Linked DNA regions of Stegostoma tigrinum. The protein of the gene in region 1 purifies or fractionates together with the protein of each later gene. This does not show direct contact. Links are inferred from orthologs where the notes say so. Each region holds a gene or a part of one and is shown in the gene's direction. Other genes may lie near its edges.

What was found.
Region 2: the proteins of dhx15 (region 1) and snrpa1 fractionate together in Homo sapiens (co-fractionation; 3 studies listed by BioGRID and IntAct, with this or other methods). This does not show direct contact. The link is inferred for Stegostoma tigrinum from reciprocal best matches to the Homo sapiens genes DHX15 and SNRPA1.
Region 3: the proteins of dhx15 (region 1) and sf3b3 purify together in Homo sapiens (co-immunoprecipitation; 4 studies listed by BioGRID and IntAct, with this or other methods). This does not show direct contact. The link is inferred for Stegostoma tigrinum from reciprocal best matches to the Homo sapiens genes DHX15 and SF3B3.
Region 4: the proteins of dhx15 (region 1) and gcfc2 purify together in Homo sapiens (co-immunoprecipitation; 3 studies listed by BioGRID and IntAct, with this or other methods). This does not show direct contact. The link is inferred for Stegostoma tigrinum from reciprocal best matches to the Homo sapiens genes DHX15 and GCFC2.

The regions. Positions count from the first base shown.
Region 1 is NC_081354.1:88,290,740-88,298,287, reverse strand, and holds the start of dhx15 (pre-mRNA-splicing factor ATP-dependent RNA helicase DHX15), read left to right. Parts: upstream 1-4,535; 5' UTR 4,536-4,749; coding exon 4,750-4,919; intron 4,920-4,950; exon of another isoform or gene 4,951-5,238; coding exon of another isoform or gene 5,239-5,252; exon of another isoform or gene 5,253-5,256; intron 5,257-7,548.
Region 2 is NC_081386.1:1,212,429-1,219,942, forward strand, and holds the start of snrpa1 (U2 small nuclear ribonucleoprotein A'), read left to right. Parts: upstream 1-4,507; 5' UTR 4,508-4,555; coding exon 4,556-4,637; intron 4,638-7,514. UniProt on the Homo sapiens protein: Involved in pre-mRNA splicing as component of the spliceosome. Associated with sn-RNP U2, where it contributes to the binding of stem loop IV of U2 snRNA.
Region 3 is NC_081369.1:5,608,089-5,615,412, forward strand, and holds the start of sf3b3 (splicing factor 3B subunit 3), read left to right. Parts: upstream 1-4,310; 5' UTR 4,311-4,419; intron 4,420-7,324. UniProt on the Homo sapiens protein: Component of the 17S U2 SnRNP complex of the spliceosome, a large ribonucleoprotein complex that removes introns from transcribed pre-mRNAs.
Region 4 is NC_081357.1:74,078,120-74,086,123, reverse strand, and holds the start of gcfc2 (GC-rich sequence DNA-binding factor 2), read left to right. Parts: upstream 1-4,987; 5' UTR 4,988-5,198; coding exon 5,199-5,478; intron 5,479-8,004.

The DNA.
Region 1 (7,548 bases):
GTACACAGTATTCCATCTTGGCCAAACCAATCACTTTATAAAGTTAGAATATGACTTCCTAGCTACTATATTCTAGCCCTAGCTAATGAAGGCACACATCCTATATGCCTTCTTCACCACCCTATCTGCCTGTCCTGTCACCTTCAAGGAACAATGGACTTATGCACCAAGGTTCCTTTGATCCTGAGGACTCCCTAGGGATTTGTCACTCATTGTGTATGTCCTTCCTAAAATGTATCACCTTGCACTTATCAGAATTAAATTTAATCTGCTATTACTTTGTCCAGTTTAACAGCAGCACAAAAATCAGACTGTACCCCGAGTCAGTCATCCTCACTATCAACAACAGTACCAATTTTCATATCATCTATGATCTCACTAGTTATATCTTCCCGTTTACATTTAAGTTGTTAATGTATGTAAAACACAGCAAAGATCCCAGGACCAAACCCCGCGTACACCGCTGGTCACAGGTTTCCAGTTACAAAAGTAACCCTCACAACATCATCCCCTAGAGACAAAAAAAAAACTGCAAGTGCTGGAATCCAAGGCTGTCAAACAGGAGGCTGGAAGAACACAGCAGACCAGGCAGCATCTGGAGGAAAGGAGCAGTCAACATGCCGGGTATCACCCTTCTTCAGGACTGATTATAGAGATTAAAAGATTAGACAAATGGTGTGACTGGAGTGTCGAGAGGCTGAATAACAAGTGAAGGGATGACCTCCAATCAGATTACTTGAGACAGAGAGATCATTTCAAAAACTTAAAAATAAGGTGGTGCTGGAGACAAACCAAGTGATCTTTTGACCTTTCTGATTATAAAGTCTGTGCCTGGGTGCTCTCTTCACATCACCTGATGAAGGAGCAGCGCTTAAAAAGCTTGTGATTTCAAACAGATTTGCTGGACTATAACCTGATGTCATGTGACTTTTGACCTTGTCCACCGCAGTCCAACAGTGGTACCTCCACATCAATCACATTAGTCAGACAAGATTTTCCTCTAACAATCCATGTTGACTATTCCTAATCAATCGCTGCCTCTACAAGTGTAATCCTGTCTCTCGGAGCTTTTTCCAATCATTTCCCTAATATGTACATCAGACTACTGGGTTTGTAATTAACTGGCCTATCTCTGCTTTTCTTGTACAAAGGAACCACAAAAACTATCTTCCAGACATCTGGCACTTCATCTGTGGCCAGCAAAGTATTAAATATCTCTGCCAGGGCTCTAGCGCTCCCTTCCATTGTTGCCCATAGCAGCCTGGGATACATCTAATCAGGCCCCTGGAATTTTGCGCCTTCATGCCTCCTAAAACATGTAATACTCCTCATTATTCTTAACGTTCTCAATGTCCCAGCTAAAATCACCGTCTACAATGTCTTTCCCCTCTGCCTGTAAACACAGATTGCTCCTTTGGTCTCTAATAGACCCCACTCTTTCCCTGCTAATTCTCTTACTTTTAACATAATTATAAATTGCATCAGTGGTTTCCACAATACTATCTGGCTAAGGTCCCTCTTTGCCCTCCTACTTACTTTTTAAGCAACTCCCTACACTCTGTGGAGCTGGAAGTTCACAGCAGGCCAGGCAGCATCAGAGGAGCAGGAAAGCTGACGTTTTGGGCCTAGACCTTTCTTAGGAAATGGAGATTTCTGAAGAAGGGTCCCGACCTGAAATGTCAGCTTCCCTGCTCCTCTGACGCTGCCTGGTCTGCTGTGTTCCTCTAGCTCCACACTGTTATCTCAGACTTGAGCTTCGGCAGTTCTTATTACCCCTATGCTCTGTATACCTTTGAGGGGCTTCCCCTGTTTTTACTGCCTTGTTCCTGATGTGGCCTCCTTCTTTCTCTTTATTCAACTCTGAACATCCTTTTTTTAATACATTCATTCATGGGATGTGGGTGTTGCTGGCTGGATCAACATTATTGCTAATCCCTAATTGCCCAGAGGGTAGTTAACAGTTAATATTGGTGTGGTTTTGGAGTCACGTGTCAGCCAGGTCAGATGAGGATAGCAGTTTCCCCTCCCTCAAGAACATCAGTGAACCAGATGGGATTTTTCCTTGACAATCAACAATGGATTCATGGTCATCATTAGACTCCTAATTCCAGATTTTTATTGAATTCAAATTCCACCATTTGCCATGGTGGGATTTGAACCTGGGTCCCTGGATTAAAAGTATAGCGATAATACCATTAGGCCATTCCCATCCCACTCCCCTAGACAGCCAGGGTTCACTGGACTTGCTGCCTTGATCCCTCACTCTTAGAAGAACATGCTGGTCCTGAATCCTCACTGTACTGCTTTTAAAAGACTCACTTTCCAAATGTAGACTTATTGCAACTAGTTGCTTCCAGCCTATGTTTGCCAGATCCAGACTAACACTATTGAAATTGGCCTTCCCTTGGTTTTGATGCTCAATTTCTGTATTATCCTTATCCCTTTCCATAGTGACTTTTAAACTCAGAATTATTGTCACCATCTCCAAAACAATCACCCATGAACTCTTCAACCACTTGACCGGCTTCATTCCCGAGGACAACATAAAGCCAATAATCTTGCACACACCTAATTCTTCAGAACACAAGTACTGTGGAAAATGGTAAGTGACCAGAGTACATGAGAATCCATGAATACAAATTATCTCAACGTACTTCAGCAAAGGTCAAAATCAAAGATGACTAATAATTTCAGAAATTCCCTTCAAGTGTAACCCTGTTTCTCTCACACCTCTGTTCTTCTATCTCCCTCGGACAGTTGGGAGGCCAGTAGTATAATCTCAGCAAAGTAATAACCCTTTTCTCATTTCTAAACTCTGTCCAGATGGGCTCATTTGAAGGCCTCTTTACAACATCTTCCTTCATTACTGCAGAGGTAGTTTCTTTTATTGATAATGCCATGCCCCCACCTCTAATATCTTTCACTGTTGTGCCTGAAACTTCTATGGCCTGGAAAGTTGAGCTGCCAGTCTGGTCCTTCCTCCAACCATGTCTTGGTGGTTGCAACAATATCATATCCCACATGCTGATCAGTGCTCTAAGTTCATCTGCCTTATCAGTCAAGATCCTTACATTAAGACAGATACAATTTAGCTTTCTTGGCCTCTTGTGCTTTAACCTGTCTATGTCTCCTCTGCCTAATGGACAATTCTAGCATTCCTTCTATTTCTGATTGGAACTTGCTTCAGATTTTATATCCATCTTGTCCCCTGCCCTATCAAATTAGTTTAAAGCCTCCCCAACAACATGAACAAATTTCGCAGCAAGGTTGTTGGACCCATTCCAGTGTAGATGTAACCACCTACTCAAGAAGCTGTCCCAATGATCCAAAAATTTAAAGTGCTCCCTGCTACACCATCCCTTTAGCAACACATTCATCTGACATATCTTTCGAGTCTTATACTAAATAGCACAGGGCACTCGAAGTGATCCAGAGATTATAACTTATAACTTCCTCTTTAATCTTATACCTAATTCTCTAAATTCCTGTTCCAGGACCTCATTTCTTTTGTTCTTTTGTTCCCCAAGTCATTGGCACTGACAAGAGGCGTGACTGTTGGCTGTTCACCCTTCTCCTTCAGAATGCCCTGATAGCTGCTCGGAGACATCCCTGATCCTGGCACCACGGAGACAACATACAATTCAAGAGACTCTGGTAACAGAGAGCCACCTATCCATTTCCCAATAGTGGATGTGATAGTAATGTCATTGGACTTTGTAACCCAGGAGGTTGAGGTTAATATTCTAAGGACAGTGATTCAAAACCGACCAAAGCAGCTAATGGAATTTAACATTCAAATTAATAAAATCTGCAATTGAAAACTGGTCTCACTGGTGGTGACCTCGAATCTGTCATAGACTGTGAAAGCTCATCTTATTCACTATAACCTTTTTGGCGAAGAAAATCTGCCATTCTGGTCTGGTCTACATGAGACTCTGGATCCACAACAATGATTGCCATTTAACTGCCGTCTGAAATGGCCTACCAAGCCACTCAGTCCAACTGCGTTTATACAGTTAACAGACTTTGCTAGCCTGCATCCCATAGGATAATAATAATTGAAATATGCATGATCAAAAGTTATTTATCTTTGAACTGAACATGAAGTAGTTACATTGTCATTGTCCAAGTGAATTTTGAAAGCTCTCTGTTATGTGGTTGCTCACAAATATTGAAGAACCATGACCGGCAGTTCAGTTGAAGATTGTGACTATGGCTGTTCTGTTGTTCCGTCTGCATCGAGGAAAGAATGTTATAGACTGCTTTTAAAAACTTACAAAGGTCATCTCGTAACCGGTTTCAATTCAGGTCTATCAATTATTGAAACAACGGGAAAATAACCGTGCTTGTGTTTAGGACAGGAAATGAGGTAGATTTCAAATCTTACTCCCAGAAACGGTACATTTTGTGTTGACTTCACACAACTCAGGACAGTTTATAACATCTGACAGAAGCTATATGAAACTAAAACCGCAAGGATCATTCAATAATAAAATGTTAAAACATCTTGCTGCGGTTCCGCGGCGTAACCGTGCCAGAACGAGGTACGTCTCGGTCTGGGAGCCGCCATCTTGTGGAAGTGTTGGGAAGAAGCCCGGCATTGCGTCGGGGCCTGTTGCTGGAGGCTGCTCGTCTTATACATTAAACACTGGGCTGTAGTGGGGAGCGGGAAGTGAAGAAAGTAGATAGGGATATCGAGAGAGGTAAGGGAGACAGGTGCAAGGTGATCAGAGGAGGTGCTGCCTGCGCATGAGCTTCTGCAACAATCGGGACGGAACCCGGAACAGAAGGGGATCGAACGGAGAGACAGAATCGGAACGCACCCGGACCGCTCTAGAACGCGGAGACATGTCAAAGCGGCACCGCGTCGACTTGGGGGACGATTACTCGTCCAGTAAGAAGCGCGCCACCTCGGACGGGTAGGTTAATCCGCAGAGTGGGACGCCGGCGGGAGGCTGGCTGCATCTGAACAGCGGCTCTGAGCGCTAGGGCCTCGGCTGGTTTGCCGAGACAGCGGCCTTGTCGGTGGGGTCAAGCGGCGCTCCCTCAGCGTCCCGCCCGGCTTAGCCGAGCGGAAGGGGCGGCTGCGGCTCGCCGCGGTTCCGCTCTGCCTCTTGCGGAGAAAGCGCGTTAGTTACCGAGAGTGACTGTGCGTGAGAGGCCGAGGGCCTGCGGGTTTGTCCATTACCTCCCGCCACCTCCGCGACTTGGTGCCGCCGGCCTGCAACTTTCCTGCTCATGTCTCGTTTCAGGTAATCTGTTTTTTGTTTTGCCGCCGCTGTATCTTGCAAGGTTTCCGGCCGTTCTTGGCAGGACAGCGCCTTCCGTTCGATCCTGTAATATATGGAGCCTCAACAAGACATTGGCGCTGCCCTACGCCTGTTTCTGCACATGGCTGGGCCACGTTTCCGAGGCCGCACCCGGGTTTTGGGAATTTATACCGAATACCTCGGGGTAGAGGGGAAGACATGTACTGTTGAAGTTTTCTCCGTCGTTTTGCCATGCCCAGTGCTATGGCGGGAATAAGCTTTCTGCACGTTTACTAACGGTATCTTTTCGAAGTTATTTTCCTTATGTAGGTTCGTCCTGAACGTCTCTAGAAGAGGCGCAGAAAGAATGTCAGTTGTCCTCTTTTCAGAGATTAAGGTTTGGGAACAGTGGGGAAATATATTGATGAGGGAGATAAGGCTTATTGGTGTTTTAAAAATTTATTTAATCAGCGGAAAAGTGCGACCCCCCCCCACCCCTTCGCGGGGATGGGGGTGGAGAGAGGGGTGGGAGCCACTGGGGTTCCTAGCTAGGCCTTTTTTGGCAATCTAACCACTACTAAAACACATTTAACGTCCCATGAACGTGTAATTTCGTTCCTGTTTTCTTCCCCTACTTTCCCGAAAGTAGAAGCAGTATGGCTCCACCGGTGCAAATGATGTCTTGCCCAATGTTGCTCATTTATCGCACATTGACTGTCCACTGGCAATTTGTAGGTTAAACTATGGTTTAAGCATGGACACGTAGGTTAGTTCCAATACAGGAGGCTACTCTACCTGAGAATAATTCACTTAGTCCTGTTTTCAGTCCAGCCCATATCTGGTCTGTTCATGTAATTATCCATTTGAAAGTCAGTATCCATGAGTCAGATGAGCAATCCAAAGCCAAGCTCCACCACATTTGCATCCATTGCATTTCTTGATCCATATAAGGTTTCTGTTCATGAACTTTTAGTTCTTTTGTTGATCCCTTGCAGTACTCTGGATGTCTTCTGATTTTGACCCCTCTAACAATGAAAATAAAAAAAATCCCAATTTACTTTGCAGGTTTACTGTGATTTTGATCACCTCATAATCTTCTCAGGAGAACAGCCCATTTCTTTAATTTACCCACTTGACCCTTTACCCTGGAGTTCTGTCTTTTTCTGTACAGTCTCAAATACCCTCACATTTTTCCTAAAATGTGGGCCAGAATTGAACACAGTACTCAGTTGAGGTTGAATTAGTATTTTTTTAAAGCCGAGTGATGACTTCCTTACTCTTATATTTTGTCTCTCCCTCTTTGTACAACCCAAGATCCCAAATGCCTTATCAACAGTATTCCTAACATGCCTGAGCACATTCAATAATTTGTGCGTGTCCCCAAGGCTTGTACTTTCTTTACAATTGTACTGTATTTCAGTGCCTGTCCTTATTCTTCCTACCAAAATATATGACTTCAGCCACCTGTGTAGTAAATTTTGTTGAAGCGTTAGCTCAATCTAGTAGCCTGTTCGCGTTCTTTACATCGTCCTCACGGTTCAGAATACTTAATACTTCTGTGTCATCTGCAAGTTTTGCTATAATGCCTCAAACACATGTCATTAATATGGAACAAAAACAGTCATCATCATAATGGCCTGTTGAAAACCCCATTATATGTGTCTTTAGTTTGTAAAACAAGTGTTCTAGGCTAGTCTCTGATTCCATTTAACCATCTTTATAACTGTGTTCACTACTCCTCTTGCTCCAGTGGGAAAAGCCCCAGTCTGTCCCCGTAACTCAAACCTTCCATTTGCAGCAACATCCTGGTAAATCTATTCTGAGCCCTTTCCAGCTTAGAGTTGATCTTTCTTTGCATCATCTCTATAGCTGTAAAACTATAATCTGCATTCGATATGTGTACGTTGGAACAGGAAAAAAAATGTGGTTTGTGAATAATGTTGGAATAGCTGAAGGTGATGCTGGAACTGTTCTTAATTAAGTGCTCAAGACAAATAGAGTCTCATTACTAAACTAATAGAATATGCTTTCAAATCCTCTGTTTGGTTTTTACTGTTAACAGCAAGAAAGAAAAATCAAAACCCTCAAAGAAGCAGATAGAAAGCTGGATGTCTAGTGTCATGATTTGAATTAAAAAGAGGTTTGGAAAACTTTGACAATTAATATCTGGGACTTGTAGGTTTTGCAGGCTACCAAGCAGGATGGAAAAGTTTAATCCATGCTGATTTCAAATGAGATGATGACTGCAGGCCCGAGAGGTATAGGTGCAAGCTTGTAAAATGTAATTTGAAAACTGATG
Region 2 (7,514 bases), on another chromosome or scaffold:
GTATTGGTTGTCTTTTTGTAGCCAGTTGGTGTTCATGTACTCTTGTTGTTAGTTTCCTTCCTGTTTGCCCGATGTAGTGTTTCTCGCAGGCTCTGCAGGGGATCTTGTAGATGTCCTGTCCATGGCGGGGAGTGGGACCCTAGTTCGGGTGAGCAGTTTCCGAAGGGTTGACGTGGGCTCGTGTGTCACTCTGATGCCCAGCGGTCATAGGAGTCTTGCGGTGAGTTCCGACGTGTTCCTGCTGTAGGATAGTGTGATGTGTGTGTCGGGAAGTGTAGTATCTTTCCGGATATCCAGTTTTTCAGAAAGATACTACATGTATCTTTCATCAAGAAACATGAACTGATGTGAATGCGTTGAATAAACCTAAGATAGCTGTTAAATTTTTAATCACTTAGAAATGACGAATACACAAAATCCCAGAATTTATTTCAAGTCACTGTCCCAAGATAACTAAAGGTTTTATCAGTATACCAGAGGTGACTTCTCAAGTCAGACAATGCATTTTAGATGCGAGGCTTCGTTTAGAATCTGGCTGTTTATTAACTTGGAGTCAGATTGGTTTTATTTCCAAAGTAGGAATTTATAAAATTCCACACTGACTGTCTACAAATTGTGTGCTTTTTGAACGGAACAGAATGTATCTGCAATTACAAACCTGCAAATGCAAATTCACCCCATTGATATAGGTGCGTGTGTGTGCGCGCATGCTTGAGAGAGAGAGAGCGTCTATAAGCCTTGCCAAAGACGTTATTAAAGTCCACACAGGCAATGTCTACCGCTCTGCCCTCAATTATCTTGTTCATCTCCTCTTCCAAAAAACTCAACAAAGTTTGTGCGATATGATTTCCTGTGCACAAAGCCATGTCAACAATCCTGACTAGTCATGGCGAAGGGTTTTGGCCTGAAACATTTACTTCCCTGCTCCTTGGATGCTGTCTGACTTGCTGCGCTTTTCCAGCTCTACATTTATTAACTTTCCAGTCTTCTAGGACCTCAACTGTGGCTATCAATGATATAAGCATCTCTGCTAGGGGCCCCACAATTTCCTCCCTATTTTCCCTCAATGTCCTGAGATACATTTGGTCAGGTCCAGGGGATTTATCTACCTTTATGTGTTTTAAGACCTTCTCTTCTGTAATGTGGACTCTTTTCAAGATATCACCATTTATTTCCCTGAATTCTTGAGCTCGATGTCTTTCTCCATAGCAAATACCGTGGCGAAATATTTGTTCAGTGTCTCAACCATCCCCTGTAGTTCAACACTTAGACAGCTTCATTGATCTTTAAAAGGCCCTATTCTCTCCCTAGTTACTCTTTTGTTCTTAATACACTTGTAGAATCTTGTTGGGTTCCCCTTAGCCTTACCTGCCAAATCTACCTTAGGTCTCCCCTTCCCCTCCTGTTTTCACCCCCTGTACTCCTGAAGGGATTCATTTGATCTCAGTTGCCTATACCTGGCATGTGTCTCCTTTTTTTCCTTGACTAGAGCATCAACATCTCTAGAAATCCAGCATATCCTATACTTGCCTATCACATCACACGAATATGCTGTCCCTGACTCTGGGTATCTCACCTTTTAAAGTTTCCCACTTGCAAGACATCCTTTTACCTGTACATAGCCTCCCCAATCAATTTTTGAAAGTTGCTGTCTAACACCATCAAAACTGGCTTCAGTTCATCAAGACTGCTTCCCCAAAAATATACTAGCTGTGCTAATTAAAAAACAAAAGAACTGTCAATGTTGTAAATCAGAAATAAAAACAGAAATTGCTGAATAAGCTCAGCACGTCTGGCAACATTGTTGATCTTTTAAGGGCCCTAGTTACTCATTTGCCCTTAATACACTTGTAGAATTTCTTTGGCCCTTAATATACTGTTCTGAGGAAGGGTGTTTTTTCATTCATGGGATAAGGGCATCACTGACCAAGCAACATTCATTGCCCATCCCTAATTGCCTTGAGGGTAGTTCAGAGTCAACCACACTGCTGTGGGTCTAGAGTCACATGTAAGCCAGACCAGGTAAAGATGGCAGTTTCCTTCCCTAAAGGACATTAGCAAACCAGATGGATTTTTTCAACAATCAATGATGAATTCACGGGCATCATTAGAGTCTTAATTCTGGATATTCATTGAATTCAAATTCCACCATCTACTGTGGTGGAATTCGAACCTGGGTTTCTCAAACATTTCTGGGTCTCTGGATTATCAGTATAGTGCTAATACCACTGGGCCATTGCCTCCCCAGGGTCACCAAAGTTAACGAAACATTAACTCTGATTTCTCTTCGCAGATGCTGCCAGGCCTGCAGAGGTTTTCCAGTAATTTCTGTTTTTGTTACTAGTTATGCTATCCACCTGCCTGCACTCATAACCTTGAAAATTATGACATTTCAAGTGCTCATCCAAGTACTTTGTTGCTGCACCCCACTACCTTCCCAGGCAATACATTCCAGACCTCCACTCTCCTCTGGGTTTTTCCTCAAATCCTAAGCCTCTTGCCTTTCAGTTTAAAATTATCCCTCTTGTTATTGAGCACTTTGGGTCTAGTGATCATAATTCCATTAGTTTGAAAATGTTCATGGAACAGGACAAGCCTTCCACAAAAGTTGAAGATTTTAGTTGGATCAGGGTAAATATTTCTAATGTTTTGGAGGAAATCTGTAGCTCGTGTTGTGGGTGTTAAGGTTGGTTGGCTCGCTGAGCTGGTTTGTTGTTGCAAAACAACAAACCAGCTCAGTGAGCCAACCAACCTCAAAGGCAAATATTAACAGTATGAGACAAGAACTTTCAAAAGTTAATTGGAGTAGACTGTTTGCAGGGAAAGGAACGTTTGACAAGTGGGAGGCTATCAAAAGTGACATAACCAGGGTTCTGCAGCATTATGTTCCTGTCAGAGAGAAACGTAAGGCTGGTAGGGAAAAATGAATGAACAAACATATTGAGGTTCTAGTCATGAATAAAAAAGAATCAGGGGCATTCTTAAGAGTGATATCAGGAAAGCAAAGAGATGTGAGACCGGCTAGGCAGACAAGGTTAAGAATAGTCCAAAGAGATTCTACAAGGACATTAAGAATAAGACAGCAACTAGGGAGAGAGAAGTCCCTTAAAGACCCAAGAGTCGTCTTTGTGTTAAATCTCATGAGATGGGAGTGATATTAAATGAATATTTCGCATTAGTTTTTGCCATGGATAAAGAAATGGTCGCTAGAGAAAGCAGGGAAATAAATATTGATGTTTTGAAAACTGTTCACTTTACAGAAGAGGATGTGCTGGAGAGCTTATAAACGTAAAGGTGGATAAATCTCGTGGACCTGATCTTGCGTATCCCACCATGAGATACGACCAATTCTCACTTGTCTCAATACACGCGGACAACCCATCCATAACTGCACAAGCCAAACAGAGACACGCCAGGGAATTGGAGGCCTGGTATTCTAACTGGAACTCCATCAACAAACACATTGAATTAGACCCCTTGTACAAAAAACAGAGATACAGACCTGAAAGTGGTACCAAACATCCCAACAAATGGAGGCATATAAATAACAAGCGGAATTGAACACCAACGCTTCACCAGAGGCACACTAACAATCTTACCTCACAGAGTGACGAAATGTCTGCAAACAAACCCACCAGCTTGGCAAGCAAGTCTATAACCTCAAGCTAGTCACCAGTCTGATTCAGAAATATATTACTATTCCTTCAATTTGTCTGGGTCAAAATCATACAGTCCCAAGGATCAGTGGGATGAGAACAAAAACAGAAGTTCCTGAGAAAGCTCAGCAGGTCTGGCAGCATCTGAGAGGAAGAAAATCGGAGTTAACGTTTCGGGTCCAGTGACCCCTCCTTCACCGGATCTGAAACGTTAACTCTGATTTTTCACAGATGCTGCTAGTTCTGCTCAGCTTTTGCAGCAACGTCTGTTTTTGTTACTGAGTTACAGCATCTGCAGCTCTTTCGGTTTTTATTCAGTGGGATGAAAAGCTGAGGTTGGATTTTATTCCTGGAATTTGGAAAGAGATGAGAAGAAACGTTTTCTCTTCAAAGGTTTTAAACCTCGGTAATTTTCTAACCAGTTTAACCAGAAGTGTATACACCAGGTGTAGATGGAGCATCAGCTGTGATCTTACTGAAAGACAAGCTGAACGGCCTACCGCGTTACTATTTCTCATGTTTCACAAACACATCTGACCCTACCTTCTCCTTTATTCATCTTCTATCCACCTCCCCGTCTCCCTATTTATTTCAGAATTCCCTTCCCCTCCCCCATTTCTGAAGAAGAGTCTCGACCCGAAACGTAAAACTTTCCTGCTCCTCTGATGCTGCTTGGCCCGCCGTGTTCATCCAGCTTCACACCGTGTTATCTCTAATCAATGTCTCCCACTTCATTTCCAACGTCCAAAGTAACCCTGTGCGCACGGGGCACTATGGGAGTGAGAGCACGGGCGGGGCCGCGGGGCACTGTGGGAGTGAGGGCAGGGGCGGGGCCGCGGGGCACTGTGGGAGTAAGGGCAGTAGCCAAGGCGCAGGTTGGTGTGGGGGTGAGGGTCATCATGGTGAAGCTGACGGCGGAGCTTGTTGAATTAGCAGCTCAGTACACGAACCCGGTCCGAGATCGGGAGCTTGATCTTCGGGGTAAGAGAGTGTCGGAGAAATTTGGCTGATCGTCGAGCTATGCCCGTATCTAGCCGTGGGCCCAGAGGCAGTCTGGGGCAGGACTTCCAAAGCGCGGTTCGTCCTCCCCTCCCCCCGCACCCTCCCTGGTTCTTCTCACCCGCCTTGCCCATCAGCCTCCCCACCCCCCCTCCCTTCACCCTCCCCCCCCCCCCTCCCTTCCCCCTTCCCCCTCCCCCCCCCCTCCCTTCCCCCTCCCCCCCCCCTCCCTTCCCCCTCCCCCCCCCCTCCCTTCCCCCTCCCCCCCCCCTCCCTTCCCCCTCCCCCCCCCTCCCCCCCCCTCCCCCCCCCCCCTCCCCCCCCCTCCCTCCCCCTCCTTCCCCCTCCCCCCCTCCCCCCTCCCCCCCCCTCCCCCCCCCTCCCCCCTCCCCCCCCCTCCCACCCCTTCCCCCTCCTTCCCCCCCACTCCCCCCCCTCCCCCCCCCTCCCCCCCCCTTCCCCCCTCCTTCCCCCCCACTCCCCCCCCCTCCCCCCCCCTCCCCCCCCCTCCCCCCCCCTCCCCCCTCCTCCCCCCACTCCCCCCCCACTCCCCCCCCACTCCCCCCCCCTCCCCCCCCCTCCCCCCCCCTCCCCCCCCCTCCCCCTCCTTCCCCTCCTTCCCCCCACCTCCCCTCCTCCCCCCCCCCTCCCCCCCTCCCCCCCCCTCCCCCCCTCCCCCCTCCCCCCCTCCCCCCCCTCCCTCCCCTCCCTCCCCCCCCTCCCTCCCCTCCCTCCCCCCCCCTCCCTCCCCTCCCTCCCCCCCCTCCCCTCCCTCCCCCCCCTCCTCCCCCCTCCCTCCCCCCCCTCCTCCCCCCTCCCTCCCTCCCTCTCCTCCCCCCCCCCTCCCTCCCCCCCCCCCCTCCCTCCCCCCCCCCTCCCCCCCCCCCTCCCTCCCCCCCCCCCTCCCTCCCCCCCCCCTCCCTCCCCCCCCCCCTCCCTCCCTCCCCCCCCTCCCTCCCTCCCCCCCCCCCCCCCCCCCCCCCCCCCCTCCCCCCCCGCCCCCTCCCCCCCCGCCCCCTCCCCCCCGCCCCCTCCCCCCCCGCCCCCTCCCCCCCCCCCCTCCTCCCCCCCCCCCCTCCCCCCCCCCCCCCTCCCCCCCGCCCCCTCCCCCCCCCCCCTCCTCCCCCCCCCGCCCCCTCCCCCCCGCCCCCTCCCCCCCCCCCCCTCCTCCCCCCCCCCCCCTCCTCCCCCCTCCCTCCCCCCCCCCTCCCTCCTCCCCCTCCCTCCTCCCCCCCACCCTCCACCCCCCCCCCCTCCCCCCTCCCCCCCCCACCCCCCTCCCCCCCCCCACCCCCACCCCCCCCTCACCCCCTCCCCCCCCTCACCCCCTCCCCCCCCTCTCCCCCTCCCCCCCCTCTCCCCCTCTCCCCTCCCCCCCCTCTCCCCCTCCCCTCCTCTCCCCCTCACCCACCTCCCCCCCCTTCCCCCCCCCCCCCCCTCCTCCCCCACCCCCTCCCCCTCCCCCCCCACCCCCCCCCCCCCCCTCCCCCTCCCCCTCCCCCACCCCCTCCCCCTCCCCCTCCCCCCCCCCCCCCCCCCCCCTCCCCCCCCCTCCCCCCTCCCCCTCCCCCCCCCTCCCCCACCCCCCCCCCTCCCCTCCCCCCCCCTCCCCCTTCCCCCCCACCCCCTTCCCCCCCCCCCCTCCCCCCCTCCCCCTTCCCCCCCTCCCCCTTCCCCCCCTCCCCTCCCCCCCCCCCCATCCCCCCCCCCCCCCCACCCCCCCCCCCCCCCCCACCCCCCCCCCCCCATCCCCCCTCCCCCCCCCCTTCCCCCCTCTCCCCCCCCCTTCCCCCCTCTCCCCCCCTTCCCCCCCTCCCCCCCCCTCCCCCCCCCCCCCCACCCCCCACCCCCCCCCCCACCCCCCACCCCCCCCCCCCCTCCCCCCCCCCCCCCCCCTTCCCCCCACCCCCCCCCTTCCCCCCACCCCTCCCCCTTCCCCCCTCCCCCACCCCACCCCCCCCCCCCCCCCTCCCCCACCCCCCCCCTCCCCCCCCCCCCTCCCCCCCCCCCCCATCCCCCCCCACCCCCCCACTCCCTCTCCCCCCCCCCCCCTTCCCCCCCCACCCCCCCCTCCCCTCCCCCCCTCCCCCCCCTCCCCCTTCCCCCCTCCCTCCCCCCCTCCCCCCCTCCCCCCCCCTTCCCCCCTCACCCCCCCCTTCCCCCCCCCCCCCCCCTCCCCCCTCCCCCCCCCCCTTCCCCCCTCCCCCCCCCCCTCCCCCCTCCCCCCCCCCCTCCCCCCTCCCCCCCCCCCCCTCCCCCCCCTCCCCCCCTCCCCCCCTCCCCCCCCTCCCTCCCCCCCTCCCCCCCTCCCCCTCCCCCCCCCTCCCCCCCTCCCCCCTCACCCCCCCCTTCCCCCTCCCCCCCCCCTTCCCCCCCCCCCCCTCCCCCCCCCCCTCCCCCCTCCCCCCCCCCTTCCCCCCACCCCCCCCCTCCCCCCTCTCCCCCCCCTTCCCCCCTCCTCCCCCCCCCTCCCCCCTCTCCCCCCCCCCCCTTCCCCCCTCCCCCCCCCCCTTCCCCCCTCCCCCCCCCCCATCCCCCCCTCTCCCCCCCCCCCCTCCCCCCCTCCCCCCCCCTTCCCCCCCCCCCCCCCTTCCCCCCCCACCCCCCCTTCCCCCCCTCCCCCCCCCTCCCACCCCCCCCCTCCTTCCCCCCCCCCCCCCCCCCCCCCTCCCCCCCCCCCCTCCACCACCCCCCCCACCATCCCTCCACCCCCCCCCCCCACCCCCCCCCCTTCCCCCCCCACCCTTCCCCCCCCCCCCCCCCCCCACCCTTCCCCCCCCCCCTTCCCCCCCCCTCCCTTCCCTTCCCCCCCCCCTCCCTTCCCCCCTCCCTTCCCCCCCCCTCCCTTCCCCCCCCTCC
Region 3 (7,324 bases), on another chromosome or scaffold:
AAGATATAGGACAGATGTCAGAGGTAGTTTCTTTAGTGAGAGAGTAGTAAGGGAATGGAACGCTTTGCCTGCAATGGTAGTAGATTCACCAACTTTAGGTACATTTAAGTCGTCATTGGATAAGCATTTGGACGTACATGGAATAGTGTAGGTTAGATGGGCTTGAGAGCGATATGACAGGTCGGCACAACATCGAGGGCCGAAGGGCCTGTACTGTGCTGTAATGTTCTATGTTCTATGTTCTATAAGTGAACAGAATTGAACTGGTTAGGAAGAGCACCCTGAGAAACTAGAGGCCAGGGAATTGTGCATTTTTGACCCCACGTTTTTGTCTGCAGCAAATGCAACATAAACTGCCATACTAGAGTGAAGTTTCTAAGCTACACAAGGCAATGCTTAACCCAGAGCTGACCACCTTGGTAAACACAATTGTTTATAAGATTGGTACAATCCACGGTACTTATGTTTTTTGATCTCCAGGCTCGCACTATTAGTCAGTTTATGGGGTGTGACTGTTGGTGTCTTGATTTGGCGGGTGCATGGAAGGCTGGTGTGCATGATGCATGTGTGGTTGTCCATGATTGCAGCAGCAGAGGGAGAGGTGATGGAGGAATCAAAATGAAATTAGTGGAAGCCCAACAACAACTTTATCTTCGGTGGAGCGGAGAGTTCGGGTGGGAAGGATAGGACGGGAATAGCACCTGAGGGATTTGCATGGCAACAGTAGGTGAGTTGGTTATAAAATACCATGATTATTTTCTATAACCTAGCTTTGTAAATCACTGTGTTAAAAATGAAGATTTACCAAATTTTAATGAAAAGTTTCAGGAAATCAATCAAGTGATATCCCACCATTCAAACTTAGACTCAAGAAAGAAGGGTTACTGGACTCGGAAAATTAACAATGTTATTCTTTCTACAGATGCTGCCAGATCTGCTGTGTTTCTCCAACACTTTCTGTTTTTGCTCAAGAAAGAAGCAATTTGTTGACACAAAACTTGAACACCAAACATTTTAAACTGCTTCAGTGATGGACAGTTTTACAGCAAAATGTCAAGAGTGTTTCTTCCTCAAACGAAACTGATTACACCACAAGCCTTTTCAATGTAGGGAAAACAGTTCCTAATTATTATCCGCTACGACTGTAAAAAAATTTGCAAGGCCAGACCAATGTGGTTTTGCACATTTTTTCCCAATGAAAAGTTAAAGAGTTCTGTTGAAGTATTTGGTGTAAGAAAAACTAATGTACTGTTGTAGTAAAGACCACAAATGTTTTTAACAACTTTGATGGTTTAATATGAAACATTTTAAGTATTGAACCACTGCAGCCTATGTGGTGCAAGTGCTTCCACAGTGCTGTCAGGGAGGGAATTCTAATTTAGAGTGCAATTATAATCAACAGATTCAGGAACATATATATCTTTAAATTAATTCCTCTGCTACTTTAAGGAGACATTAAACCATTTATTGAAAACCAGAATGTATGTCCACTCAAATAGTTATTAGGGAAACTGGTTGTGAGTGTTTTAAAATTATTTTATATAAAGGGAGAACCAATTGATGTGATGCATTTGTATTTTCTGTGAATTTTTTATAAGGTCCCTCTTAAGGGGTTAATGGCCAAAATTAAAGCACATTGGATAGGGGTAATTTATTGATGTGGATTGAGAATTGGCTGACAGATAAGAAACAGAGTGAAAATAAAGGGGTATTTTTCCAAGCGGCAGGCAGTAACTAGTGGTGTACTGCAAGCATTGATGCTTGATCAGCTATCTACAGCATGTTGAATGACTGAGAACATTCCCAAATGCAAATTCCCAAATTTGCTAATGACATAAAACTGGGCTGGATTGTGGTTTGTGAGGAAGAAGATGGAGACTTCACTGTGATTTAGACATATTGAATGAATTGGCAAATACATAGCAGGTGTAGTACAATGTGGCTCATTATGAAGTTTTACACTTGTGAAAAACAGAAAGAAAGAGATTTTGGTGGTGATATATTGGGAAGTGTGTGTACAAAGGGATCTGGGTGTCCTCGTATATCGGTTGATGAATGTAGACAGGCAGCTGCAATAGTGAGTAGAAAGGAAAATGGTACAATGCAAGAGGATTTGAATTCAGAAGCAGGATGTCCAACTGCAGTTATACAGACCATTGGTAAAATCATGCCTGCAGTTTTGTATGTAGATTTGGTCTCCCAGCCTAAAAAGGTTTATACTTGCTATAGGATGAGGTTTACTAGGCTGACATCAGGGATTGCCATATGAAGAGAGAGTGGTTCAACTGGGGTTTTAATTCACCAGAGTTTGGAAGGATACAAGATGACCTGATTAAATTGTATACAATTAAAACTGGGCTGAACGGATTGGATCCTTGGTTAGACAGTCAGAACCAGAGGGCATAAACTAAGGATAAAAATGGTGAGCCTGTGAAATTCTCTACCATAAAAGGCTGTGGAGGTCAAATCACTGAACACATTCAAGAAAGAGTTTTTTTTAATTTATTTTAATGGCATCAAGAGGTTTGGGTGGAAATCAAGATGATGGAATTGTGACAGAGGATCAGCCATGATCACGTTGAACGTTGGAGCAGGCTTGAGGGGCTGAATGCCTTCCTGTCCCCTAGTTTCTAGGTTTCTCCAACTTAAGGCTGAAAAGAAATGTCAGCAAGCTCATTGGTTCTGTAATGAACAAACGCCATACCAAACTTCATCTCCAAAGTCAGTGAAGAAACACAAGATTTTTATTATTTCACTGCAAACTAGATGTTTAGGAGAGAAGTGCTGGGTTGGCTCATTTTCACTGCATTTCTCAATGCTACGCTTCTTTGAAGGCATCCTGATGAATGCCTTCGAGTTCTATGTTGGGCAGCCCTTTTAATAAGACAAGGATAAATCACTTTTGATTCCACTAAGCCTTCACGCACAGTAAAAACTAAGATTTAACTTGACAAATGGACTTTCTCCACTATCCCACGATAACCAGCATGAACCTTCCCCATCCATATGATTCCCTTTCAAAATAAATTTCCTCTTTTCTTTTTCTGCTATCTCAGGCTCATGCAGGGATGCAATTTCAGCAGATAGCTCTTGTTTCCTCTGTTTTAGGAACATAGAAATCAGCCATTGGGTCCATTAAGCCTGTTCTGTTATTCAATGGATCATGGGTGATTTTTTTACCTCTGTGCCATTTTACTGTGTCTTGAACATCCTTAATGACTTTTAAGGTGTAAAGAAAAAGAGATTTTAAAAAGACGAGGCAAATGTTTTACACAGAGAGTGGTTTATCTGTGGAATGAACTTCCAGGGGAGGTAGTGGATTGTGGGTACTATCACAACATTTAAAAGACATTTGAATAAGTACATGTATGAGAATGCTTTGGAGAGAAATAGGCCTGGAGCAGGCAGATGGGACTAGTTTAATTTCGGGTTATGTTTGGCATCAACTGGTTGGACTGAAATATCTGTTTCCGTGCTGTATGACTCTATGACTGAGCTTTCTGAGATTCACCAGCTCGGGTGAAAAAAAGCTTCCTCCATCTCAATTCTAAATTGCTTGCCCCTATGTTCGGAATCTGTGTCCATTGGCTGCAGATGCATCTCCTTTTGCAAACTCTGTAAGAATGTATAATGCTTCAATTAAACCGTCTTTCATTCTTCTAAACTCTAGAGGTTACAGGTCCTTTCCTCTCCATCTTTTCTCACAGGTCAATACCATCATCCCAGGAATCATCCGATGAATATTTGTTGTATTTGCCAGTGACAGGTATATCCTTCCTTCAGTAAGGACAGTCCTGAATCAAAAACTAGAGGCGTGTTTTTAAGAGGAGAGGAGAAGCACTTACAAGGGATCTGAGGGGCAACTTTTTTCCCCCCACACATAAGGTGGTTTGTCAGTGAAAATGAACTGCCACTGAAAGTGGTAGATGCAGGTACCGTTGCAACATTTAAAAACACATTTGGACAGGTACATGAAAAGGAAAGGTTTAGAGGTGTGTGGGCCAAATGCAGGCAAGTGGCACTAGTGTAGTTTGGAAAACCTGGTCGTCTTGGTCAAGTTAGACCAAAGGTATGTTTCTTTGCTGCATGTCCTTATGTTGTAGAGTAGGCAACTTAGCGTTCTAGGGCATTGTCTAAACGAGTGCCTGAAAATATGTTATACATCAATCTGTCTTGTAACTGTATTTGTAAAATTGGTTATTAAATAAATATATATTTCAGAGCCGGAGGTCCGGTGTTGTTTGATTCGATTCTTTTCTCGCGGCATACTGCGCATGCACAACTGGGCACAGGCCCCCGAGTTGGCCACCTATTCAGGCAGCAAGGACCCCAGGCCGGGAGCAGCGGGGTTGGTGACATTGAGGAGGATGGAGCCAGCAATCTGACGGGAAATCGGTGGCATCCTGCGTCCTACAGCAGGTAGCGCCGATTTTTTTGACTCCGGGAGCTCGGGCGGTGCTGATTTTACCAATATTGCCTTTCGATGGTTTCCCGTGGTTGTTTTTTGAGCCACGGTGGGCAGGCTGGCTTTCGGGCCTAAAAGAGGCGCGGGTGCAGGCCGTCCTGCTTCATGAAGGCGGGAAGTCGGTGAGGCCTCTTTAAGGAGGGGCAGATAAACTTGAAGCAGCTCCTGCAGTTTGCCGATGGTGGCAGCAATTTCTTTTTAAAACATCCTCTGGTACATTGGTCGCTGCCATGCGCAACCTAGCTAGTCGTGTTAAATCTGAAAAGAGAGGTATAACTGGATCAAAACCTGCCAACGCACAATTAGGGAGCGAAATATTAGTGGAGCTGCAGCCTCGGTTCACTGCGAACTTCATACAACTTATAGGCTTCACTTGTCCACCTCTTGTGCTTAGCATCCTCATTGCTGAAGAAAATGAGAAACACGTGGATTTGCGAAATGTTAGGAAGTGGCTTCTGCTAACCAGGTGCCCATTGTGAGCCATTATCTGCCAGATGCACATCTTAAATGTGGCCATAAAATGGATCTATTACACTTATTTTTCCCAGTCCAAGCCTTTAAATTAGGGAAGGGTGGTTGTGAGTTCGTATGTTCATCCGGTTTCTGCTGTGTCTTGCTGTTCAGCTGGTTGAAGATAACACGAGAGGGAAAATGGTCCTTGGACTGTGGTTGATCCCTGGGGTACAGAGGAGGTCAACATTTAGGTTGTATTTGCAACAGAGTTCTTTCAGTTCGAATTTGGGGATGTTTGCCAAGGAAAAAGTTCTAGGTTGATGGATCTGCTGTTGGAATTAGGGTACTTGAGATTAGTATTGTGGATGCTGAGCTGGCCCCAAGGCCAGACTCTCCTGTCTACCTTTCTGCAGCCCGACTTCCCACTATTTACTTCTGGGGCCCCCTCCCCCGTCTCGACAAAGATTTTCAGCCCAAAATGTTGACTTTCTTGCTCTTCTGGTGCTATCTGACCTGCTGTGTTGTCCGCCTCCATGTTTATTGACTCAGGCTTCCAGCATCTGCAGTCCTTAACGACTCCTCTGCCGTTCATTGTGCGATACCCAACGATCTATTGATTTTTTTTGTTGGATACACTCAGCAACTTGGCATTCAAGTTCTGGGGCAGAGGATTATAAAGATTCTTAGCCCTCAGTGAAGAAATTTCTCTTCATTCTGAGAATGACTTTGTGTTCCAGATTCTACAGCCAGCAGAAATACAGTCTCCCCATCTCCCCTATCAAGGCACTTCTGAATTCTAGTTCTTAATTAGATCATCTCATTATTTTAACCTTTCAGGGATCCGTGCCTATTACTCAAATAAAGCTGTCACCAAGTAATATATTAGATCTCATCATCAATGTCACTACTTGAAGGTTAGAATAGAACAATAGATCTGTTGAAGATGTGGCAGAATTTATGCATTTTTTGCAGTGAAGTGATATTATTATAATATTAATATAAATTATCAATAACTTTTATTGATACAGATTAGTTGTGGCTGGAATAGATTTGTAGAGAGATAAATGTAAAATCAGTACCAAATACAGAATTCCCCTTGATACTTGTAATGGTGTTAACTGTCATGTTTATAGTGTGAGATCTGTGCTTGCATTGTGTTAACTTTAAATTCTCAAAACTGTTAACTTTGTGTGCATTTAATTAAAATTGTGGTCAGAATCCTTAAAGATGTCTGATTTTTCAAAGAGGATAGAATGTAGCAGCTAACTTTCCTCTTTGCACGTGCAGTGAATTTTTTACATTTAACCAAGATGAGCCAGAGTTTTGAATACCTACTGGCATCCCCTAAGTAGACATAGTACGTTTCTTAGCCAAAGATAGTAATAACTGCAGATGCCAAAGTCAAAGATAACACGTTGTGGAGCTGGAAGAACACAGCAGGTCAGGCAGCCGCCGAGGAGCCGGAAAGTTGACGTTTAAGGTCGTTTCTTCATTTTCTGGAGAAGAGTTCTGACCCAAAACGTGAACTTTCCTGCCCCGCTGATGCTGTCCAGCCTGCTGTCTTCCTCCAACTGCACACACTTATTGCCACATTTCTTAATCAGTGCTTTTTTGAGGCTGGCCTGTTTATGTTGACAGATAATGTTGGAATCTGCAAAGCAGTGAGTTTTACTGAGATGCCTATTGTTGTGCGGCTATAATTGTTTCCTCACGAGTTTGGTTTGTAACTAAAATTTTTTGCTTTTTATTTGAGTATATGTTTGGTTGTGTGTCCTTGTTGCATACTTGCTCTTGCCTTCTGGTGGAGTTGGGTATGTGATCTTTGAAATCTGTTTGGTATTTATGGAGTGTCAATTTATTAACCAGTTACAAAGCTGGCAATTCAAATCAGTTTCCCAACCCAAGCTTTCGAGCTGACATTTACTAATCTTGCCTGAATTTGTTTCATGTTTGTATGTTGCTCTATTGCCTTTCTTCCATTCTGTCACCCAGGTGGCCATTTGTCATGTGAGCTTTTGAGAGCCAGCGTGTTGCGTTATCCTGCTGTGTCTGCAACCTGACTTCTTTTTTCAAGCAGGGATAAATTAAATAAGAAGCAGTAGTGTAGAGACGGGTGTATTTTCCTTTTCGTACTCAAGACCACCATTACGCCTCATTTATCGCTCTGGTTGGAGTCAACCAATTTAGAATACGTGCAGCTCTTTGAACTTAATGCCTCAGAGAGCTACAGCTGGAGTTTCGAATCTCTCTTCACCCTGTATTTTTGTGGCGATGGCTTATTTTAGACCTTTTCTAACCTATCGTTACGTTTTAGGGTGGTGTTTTTGTGGGAGAAAGTTGTTCCCAAACCGGGAATTAAGGTGACGTTTTCTTTTCAAAACTGCATGTGTTCGATTTGTAGATTTG
Region 4 (8,004 bases), on another chromosome or scaffold:
CCCACTAACCCCACCAACCCTGGCACCTTTCCCTGCAACCACAGGAAGTGCTACACCTGCCCCACACCTCGCCCTTCACCTCCATTCAAGGCCCAAAGCAAACCTTTCATACCTGACAGGGGTTCACCTGTATATCCTCCAACTTGGTATCCATTGCTCTCGATGTGGCGTCCTCTACATTGGTGAGACCAAGTGTAGACTCAGGGATCGTTTTGTAGAGCATCAGTGCTCTGTACACAACAAACAACACCTTCCGGTCACCAACCATTTTAAGTCTCACTCCGACGCCCTGGGAGACATGTCCAACCTGGGCCTCCTCCTGTGTCCCAAGTCGCAACCCACAAACTGGAAGATCAGCACCTCATATTCTGCCTCTCCAGCCAACAGCCCGATGGCCTAAACATGAAATTCACCAGTTTTAATATCCACCTCTGCCTCATCCTATGACCAAACCTCCCTCTCCTTGACCTGACACAACCTATCTGCCCCCCCCCACCTCACTGACCGATCCCCACCACTCCCTACCGGCATTTACCTATCACCATTCCACCTACCTTCCCCAGTCCCACCCCTCCTCTCTATTTATTTGTGAGCACCCTTGCCCCCTCCCTACTTCTGAAGAAGGGCCCAAAGAACAACACTCCTGCTCCTCCGGTTCCACACTGTCGCCCTAATAAGTCCACTTTAGTGCTATCTGTTTTGGTGTTGATTAACAAGTGCCTTTTGATCTTCTGGTAATCTTGATTAAGCATGAAGCAAAGCGATGGGTTATCGTTGCACACCAATCATCAATTTCCAGATGTATTCACCACCGGAGGGAGCCATTCAAGATTTACCTGCCAGCAGGAGAACCTTGTCTAACGAAGTTAATCGAATTGCGAACAACAGCACTCACTCACAGGTTGTACATGATACGTTGGTCTTTCTGATTTGGATAGTTTCAGTAATCTTGATGTTACGAGTAATTATAGGTAATGCTCCATTGCTGACTCCATCAGCAATGACCTGGACTAGACAGAATCTAGTTGATCTCAAGATGGGCATACTTTATCTGTAAGACTTACTCTAAAAAGTCCCTGGACCTTAGCTTTATACAGGCTTTCTTTAATTTCTCTCCTCCAGTGTCACAACGACTCCACCCAGAAACTGGAGGAACAGGACCTCATATTCTGCCTTGGAACCCTACAACCCAACGGTCTCCTATGGACTTTACTAGCTTCAAAAACTTGCTACCCTTGACCTCATCCCAGGACCAGCCCCTGCTCTCATTTCTGCCTCCTTGACCTGTCTGTCTTCTTTGCCACCTATCCGCTCCACTATCCACCTTCTATCATCGTCTGCCGCTCTTTACGTATTTGGGTCCCCTTCCCCTCCTCCATTTTTGAAGAAGGATCCAAGATGTTGCTTGGCCTTGCTGTGTTCATCCAGCTCCACACTTGGTTATTCCGGACCAGAAAAGTACAGCTACCTAGAATACACCTCCTCCCACCCACCCTCCTGCAAAAATTCCATCCCCTATTCCCAATTCCTTCGCCTCCGCTGCATCTGCTCCCAGGATGAGGCATTCCACTCCCGCACATCCCAGATGTCCATGTTCTTCAAGGACCACAACATCCCCCCCGCGGAGGTCGAGAACGTCCTTAACTGTGTCTCCCGCACTTCCCGCAACACATCCCTCTCACCCCGCCCCCTCAATAACCGCCCTAAGAGAATCCCCCTTGTCCTCACATTACACCCCACCAACCTCCAGATACAACGCATCATCCTTCAACACTTCCGCCACCTACAATTCGATACCACCACTAAAGACATTTTTCCCACCCCACCCTTGTCTGCCTTCCAGCGAGACCACTCTCTCCGTGACTCCCTTGTCAGCTCCACACTCCCCTCCAACCCAACCACACCCGGCACCTTCCCCTGCAACCGCAGGAAGTGCTACACTTGCCCCCACACCTCCTCCCCCACTCCCAACCCAGGCCCCAAGACGACTTTCCATATTAAGCAGATGTTCACCTGCACATCTGCCAATGTAGTATACTGTATCCACTGTACCCAGTGTGGCTTCCTCTACATTGGGGAAACCAAGCGGAGGCTTGAGGACCGCTTTGCAGAACACTTCCACTCGGTTCGCAATAAACAACTGCACCTCCCAGTCACGAACCATTTTAACTCCCCCTCCCATTCCTTAGATGACATGTCCATCTTGGAGTGCCACAATGATGCTACCCGAAGGTTGCAGGAACAGCAACTCATATTCCGCTTGGGAACCCTGCAGCCCGATGGTATCAATGTGGACTTCACAAGCTTCAAAATCTCCCCCTCCCTCACTGCATCCCAAAACCAGCCCAGCTCGTCCCCGCCCCCCAGGGCATAACAAAACCAGCCCAGTTTTTCCCCGCCTCCCTAACCTGTTCTTTTCTCACCTATCTCCTCCTCCGACCTCAAGCTGCACCTCCATTTCCCACCTACCAACCTCAACACGCCTCCTTGACGTGTCTGTCCTCCCCGGACTGACCTATCCCCTCCCCACATATACTCTCCTCTCCACCATCCATCTTCAGTTCGCCTCTCCCTATTTATTTCAGAACCCTCTCCATGAAGGGTCTAAGCTTTTGTGCTCCTGAGATGCTGCTTGGCCTGCTGGGTTCATCCAGCTTCACACTTTGTTATCTTGGATTCTCCAGCATCTGCAGTTCCCATTATCTCTGATCTCAAAGATAATGGGAACTGCAGATGCTGGAGATTCCAAGATAATAAAATGTGAGGCTGGATGAACACAGCAGGCCAAGCAGCATCTCAGGAGCACAAAAGCTGACGTTTCGGGCCTAGACCCTTCATCAGAGAGGGGGATGGGGGGAGGGAACTGGAATAAATAGGGAGAGAGGGGGAGGCGGACCGAAGATGGAGAGTAAAGAAGATAGGTGGAGAGGGTGTAGGTGGGGAGGTAGGGAGGGGATAGGTCAGTCCAGGGAAGACGGACAGGTCAAGGAGGTGGGATGAGGTTAGTAGGTAGCTGGGGGTGCGGCTTGGGGTGGGAGGAAGGGATGGGTGAGAGGAAGAACCGGTTCGGGAGGCAGAGACAGGTTGGACTGGTTTTGGGATGCAGTGGGTGGGGGGGAAGAGCTGGGCTGGTTGTGTGGTGCAGTGGGGGGAGGGGATGAACTGGGCTGGTTGAGGGATGCAGTGGGGGAAGGGGAGATTTTGAAACTGGTGAAGTCCACATTGATACCATATGGCTGCAGGGTTCCCAGGCGGAATATGAGTTGCTGTTCCTGCAACCTTCGGGTGGCATCATTGTGGCAGTGCAGGAGGCCCATGATGGACATGTCATCAAGAGATCCCCTATTCCCAATTCCTCCGCCTCCGCCGCATCTGCTCCCACGATAAGACATTCCACTCCCGCACATCCCAGATGTCCAAGTTCTTTAAGGACCGCAACTTCCCCCCCACGGTGATTGAGAACGCCCTTGACCGCGTCTCCCGCATTTCCCGCGACACATCCCTCACACCCCGCCCCCGCCACAACCGCCCCAAGAGGATCCCCCTCGTTCTCACACACCACCCTACCAACCTCCGGATACAACGCATTATCCTCCGACACTTCCGCCATTTACAATCCGACCCCACCACCCAAGACATTTTTCCATCCCCACCCCTGTCTGCTTTCCGGAGAGACCACTCTCTCCGTGACTCCCTTGTTCGCTCCACACTGCCCTCCAACCCCACCACACCCGGCACCTTCCCCTGCAACCGCAGGAAATGCTACACTTGTCCCCACACCTCCTCCCTCACCCCCATCCCAGGCCCCAAGATGACATTCCACATTAAGCAGAGGTTCACCTGCACATCTGCCAATGTGGTATACTGCATCCACTGTACCCGGTGCGGCTTTCTCTACATTGGGGAAACCAAGCGGAGGCTTGGGGACCGCTTTGCAGAACACCTCCGCTCAGTTCGCAACAAACAACTGCACCTCCCAGTCGCAAACCATTTCCACTCCCCCTCCCATTCTCTTGATGACATGTCCATCATGGGCCTCCTGCACTGCCACAATGATGCCACCCGAAGGTTGCAGGAACAGCAACTCATATTCCGCCTGGGAACCCTGCAGCCATATGGTATCAATGTGGACTTCACCAGTTTCAAAATCTCCCCTTCCCCCACTGCATCCCTCAACCAGCCCAGTTCATCCCCTCCCCCCACTGCACCACACAACCAGCCCAGCTCTTCCCCCCCACCCACTGCATCCCAAAACCAGTCCAACCTGTCTCTGCCTCCCGAACCGGTTCTTCCTCTCACCCATCCCTTCCTCCCACCCCAAGCCGCACCCCCAGCTACCTACTAACCTCATCCCACCTCCTTGACCTGTCCGTCTTCCCTGGACTGACCTATCCCCTCCCTACCTCCCCACCTACACCCTCTCCACCTATCTTCTTTACTCTCCATCTTCGGTCCGCCTCCCCCTCTCTCCCTATTTATTCCAGTTCCCTCCCCCCATCCCCCTCTCTGATGAAGGGTCTAGGCCCGAAACGTCAGCTTTTGTGCTCCTGAGATGCTGCTTGGCCTGCTGTGTTCATCCAGCCTCACATTTTATTATCTCTGATCTCAAGTCAGCTTTCCTGCTCCTCTGATGCTGCCTGGCCGACTGCAGCTCCATAGATATAACACAATGTGGAGCTGGAGGAGCACAGCGGGCCAGGCGGCATCAGAGGAACAGGAAAGTTGACGTTTCGGGTCCGACCCTTCTGATGAAGGGTCTAAGCCCGAAACGTCAGCTTTTGTGCTCCTGAGATGCTGCTTGGCCTCCTGAAAAAGGCCCACTTTTCTACTCCAGCTCCTCGCTATGTTATCTCTGAATCACCCTCCACAGTTCTTAAAAGAACTCCGTCCAGTCTTTTCGATACAAATATCAAGCAAACCCAGAATCTAATAGGGGTTGATGTTTGGTGAGATTTTAAAAACAGGACGTCGTTTATCTTTTGATGGGAAAAAGGATAGTACTGCTCGTGCATTTCTAGCCTTCACTTACGTATTGTGTTGGTATTGAAACTTAAACTGGAATCTTTGCGATAAATGTTTATTCCTTGTCATACTTCACACCCCCCCCTTACAATCAATAAGTGGAAGATTCCCTCTCCTTTCCGGTCCGTTCCGCGAACGTTGCGGGGTGCCGTGTTCTGTCTGTAATTGTCTTTAGAATGTTCGGAAAGAATCCGAAGCGGAATTTCCGCCGCAGGAGGAGTGAGTCCAGCGAGGAGGATGATCAGGAGCAGCTTCAGCCCGGAGCTAGGACCAGGGCTGCAGTCATACTCGCTCCACCAACCTGTGGCTTAGCCAGGGCCCAGTCCGCCAGCCCCAGCTCAGCTTCAGCAGACAGTGGCAACGAGGAAGCTGTAGTCGAATGGGGCGCTCCAAAGCACACCAGTCAAACCCGTAACTGTGACCTCAGTCTGCTGAGCTTCGGCTACGACAGAGAAGGTAATGCTGCATATTAGTCCGCCGTCAGGTATCTTTGGGCAGGCACGCTAAGATCTGTTCCTCTGAGCTTCTTAGTGTCTTGCCTTTCATTGAGGATACTTGTCTTGTTCCTTCTTCCAAAGTGTAATCCCTCCTATTTATCAGGATTAAATTCCATATGCCACTTATCTGCCCTTCTGATCAATCTGTTTATATTCTCCTGCAACCTAACGCCTTTCTCCTCAGTCAACCACACAATCTTTATGTCATCCGTAACTTCTTATCCACCCCACATTCTCATTTTTGTCACTTATGAATATCACATACAATGAGGGACACAGCACATCCCTGTCGTATGCTACTGGGTCCCAATCTCACAAACAGTGTTGCACTACCATACTGTGTCTCCTGTCACTTCAGTAATTCTAGATCCAACTTGCCAAGTTAACTTGAATCCCATGAGTTTTTACGTTTTTTACCAGTTTCCCATATGGTATTATTCTAATGAATTTGAGAATAAACTTTCAGTGCAGTAATTGGCCAACTTGGATTTTTCTGAGATAATAAAATGTGAGGCTGGATGAACACAGCAGGCCAAGCAGCATCTCAGGAGCACAAAAGCTGACGTTTCCGGATTTTTCTGATTTACTTTTGTAGATAGGAAATATCTGGGCAATTTTCTACATTGGGTAGATGTCAAAGTTGTACCTGTGCTGGAACAACTTGACTAGGTATGCGGCAAGTTCAGCAGCCAAATGTTCAGAATTCTATTGCTGTCATATTCTCAAGGCCCAAAACCTTGACTGTATCCAAGGCCTTCAACCATTTCTTGCTGTCGTATGAAGTGAGTTGAATTGGCTGAAGTTTGGTATCTGTAATGCTGGGCACCTCAGAAGGAGGCCAAGATAGATTACCCACTCAGCGTTTCAGGATCAGGTTTTACCCATTTTAATACATACTTTTGAAACTCCTGTAAATTTTTAGGGATTCGTTTGTTGAAGGAATATGCTTAGATAATGAGTATTTATAAATTGTAGAAATTGTATAAAACCAGACACATTCAAATGGAAATCAGTGAAGCTTGACAGTTCACTGCAGTCTTAGATAATGAATTCCACAGATTCATGACTCGTTGTGAGAAGTAATTCTTCTTATCTCTTTTAATTCTGCTACTCCTTAAAACTCATTGTTGTACATTGTCTCACACGAGTAAACTACTTTTGATCTTCTTCATCAGTTACCTTAAGTGTCGTATATACCTCAATTAGATCTCTCATTCTATTGGAGAGGTTGATTAAAAACACACAATATTTGAAAAACCTGGGTCAGGCAGCATCCGAAATAGAAACAATTAACTTTCTTAATACTTCAAGGTGATAATCTGTTGACAGCTTTGTGGAATTGCAATCCAAATACCAGTGCCCTATCTACCTGAATTCTCCAGAACTCAAATTGGCTCATTTTTTCTACTGATCAAAACCTTCTGATACAGAATGGGCAATATACAGAGATCTGAACAGGAAATTTCTGTGCCTGGGCATACACCATCAGGAGTATTCTATAAAGAATACAGCAAGTGATAATGTCAAGACAAGTATGGAGAATGCTTGAGAAACTCCAGTTCAGCAGCGTCTGTGGAGAGAGAAAGAGAGTTAATGTTTCATCTGGTATGAATTCTTCGGCATTCTTCCTTGGCAATTGAAAGGCAGGTAGTTTCCTGTTAAAGTTTCACATGAGGAGAAGCATGAAACGGACTGGAGCCTGGGACAGCTGGGAGATGGTGAGTCAGTGCTAATGGAGACAGAGGTCAAGTTTGCATGTGACAGCACACCGCATTGTGTGTGGATTACAGAATCCCAATGACTCCATTTGACCCATCAAGTCTGCACTGACCCTCTGAAGACCATCCCACCCAGTACCCTCTCCCCAGAGACAGAGGATTCACCTATCTTGCACATCCTGGATAGTACAAGGCATTTTAGTATGGCCAATTCACCTAATCTGCATATTTTCAGACTGTGGCAGGAAACCAGAACAGCAAGAGGAAACCCATGCAGGCATGGGGCAAATGTGCAGATTCCACAGAGCTGGTCACCTAAAACTAGAATTGAACCTGGATCCCTGGCACTGTAAGGTAGCAATGCTAACCTCTGAGCCACCATGCCGAGCCTTCAGGACTGCAGAATGCAGCGAGGGGCATATATTTGAGGAGATAACAAAGTGTGGAGCTAGAGGAACACAGCAGGCCAGGCTGCATCAGAGTAGCAGGAAATTTGATGTTTCGGGTTGGCACCCTTTTTCAGAAATATACCTGAGGAGCGTTGTCTGTCTCGGAAATGCCTGTAATCCTGGTTGGGTTAAAATGAAGAGTGGGAAGAACGATTGGAATTTGTGAGGGGTAACGTGGAACCAGAGGCAGACACTGAGGAAGATAGTGTGGCTGTGAAAGTGCATTTTGGTTAACACTTTATCCCAAACCAGAAGAGAGATAGAAAGCAAAGAATGTGAATAAGCCAAAAGATTAGAACTGAAATCCCAATGGAGACA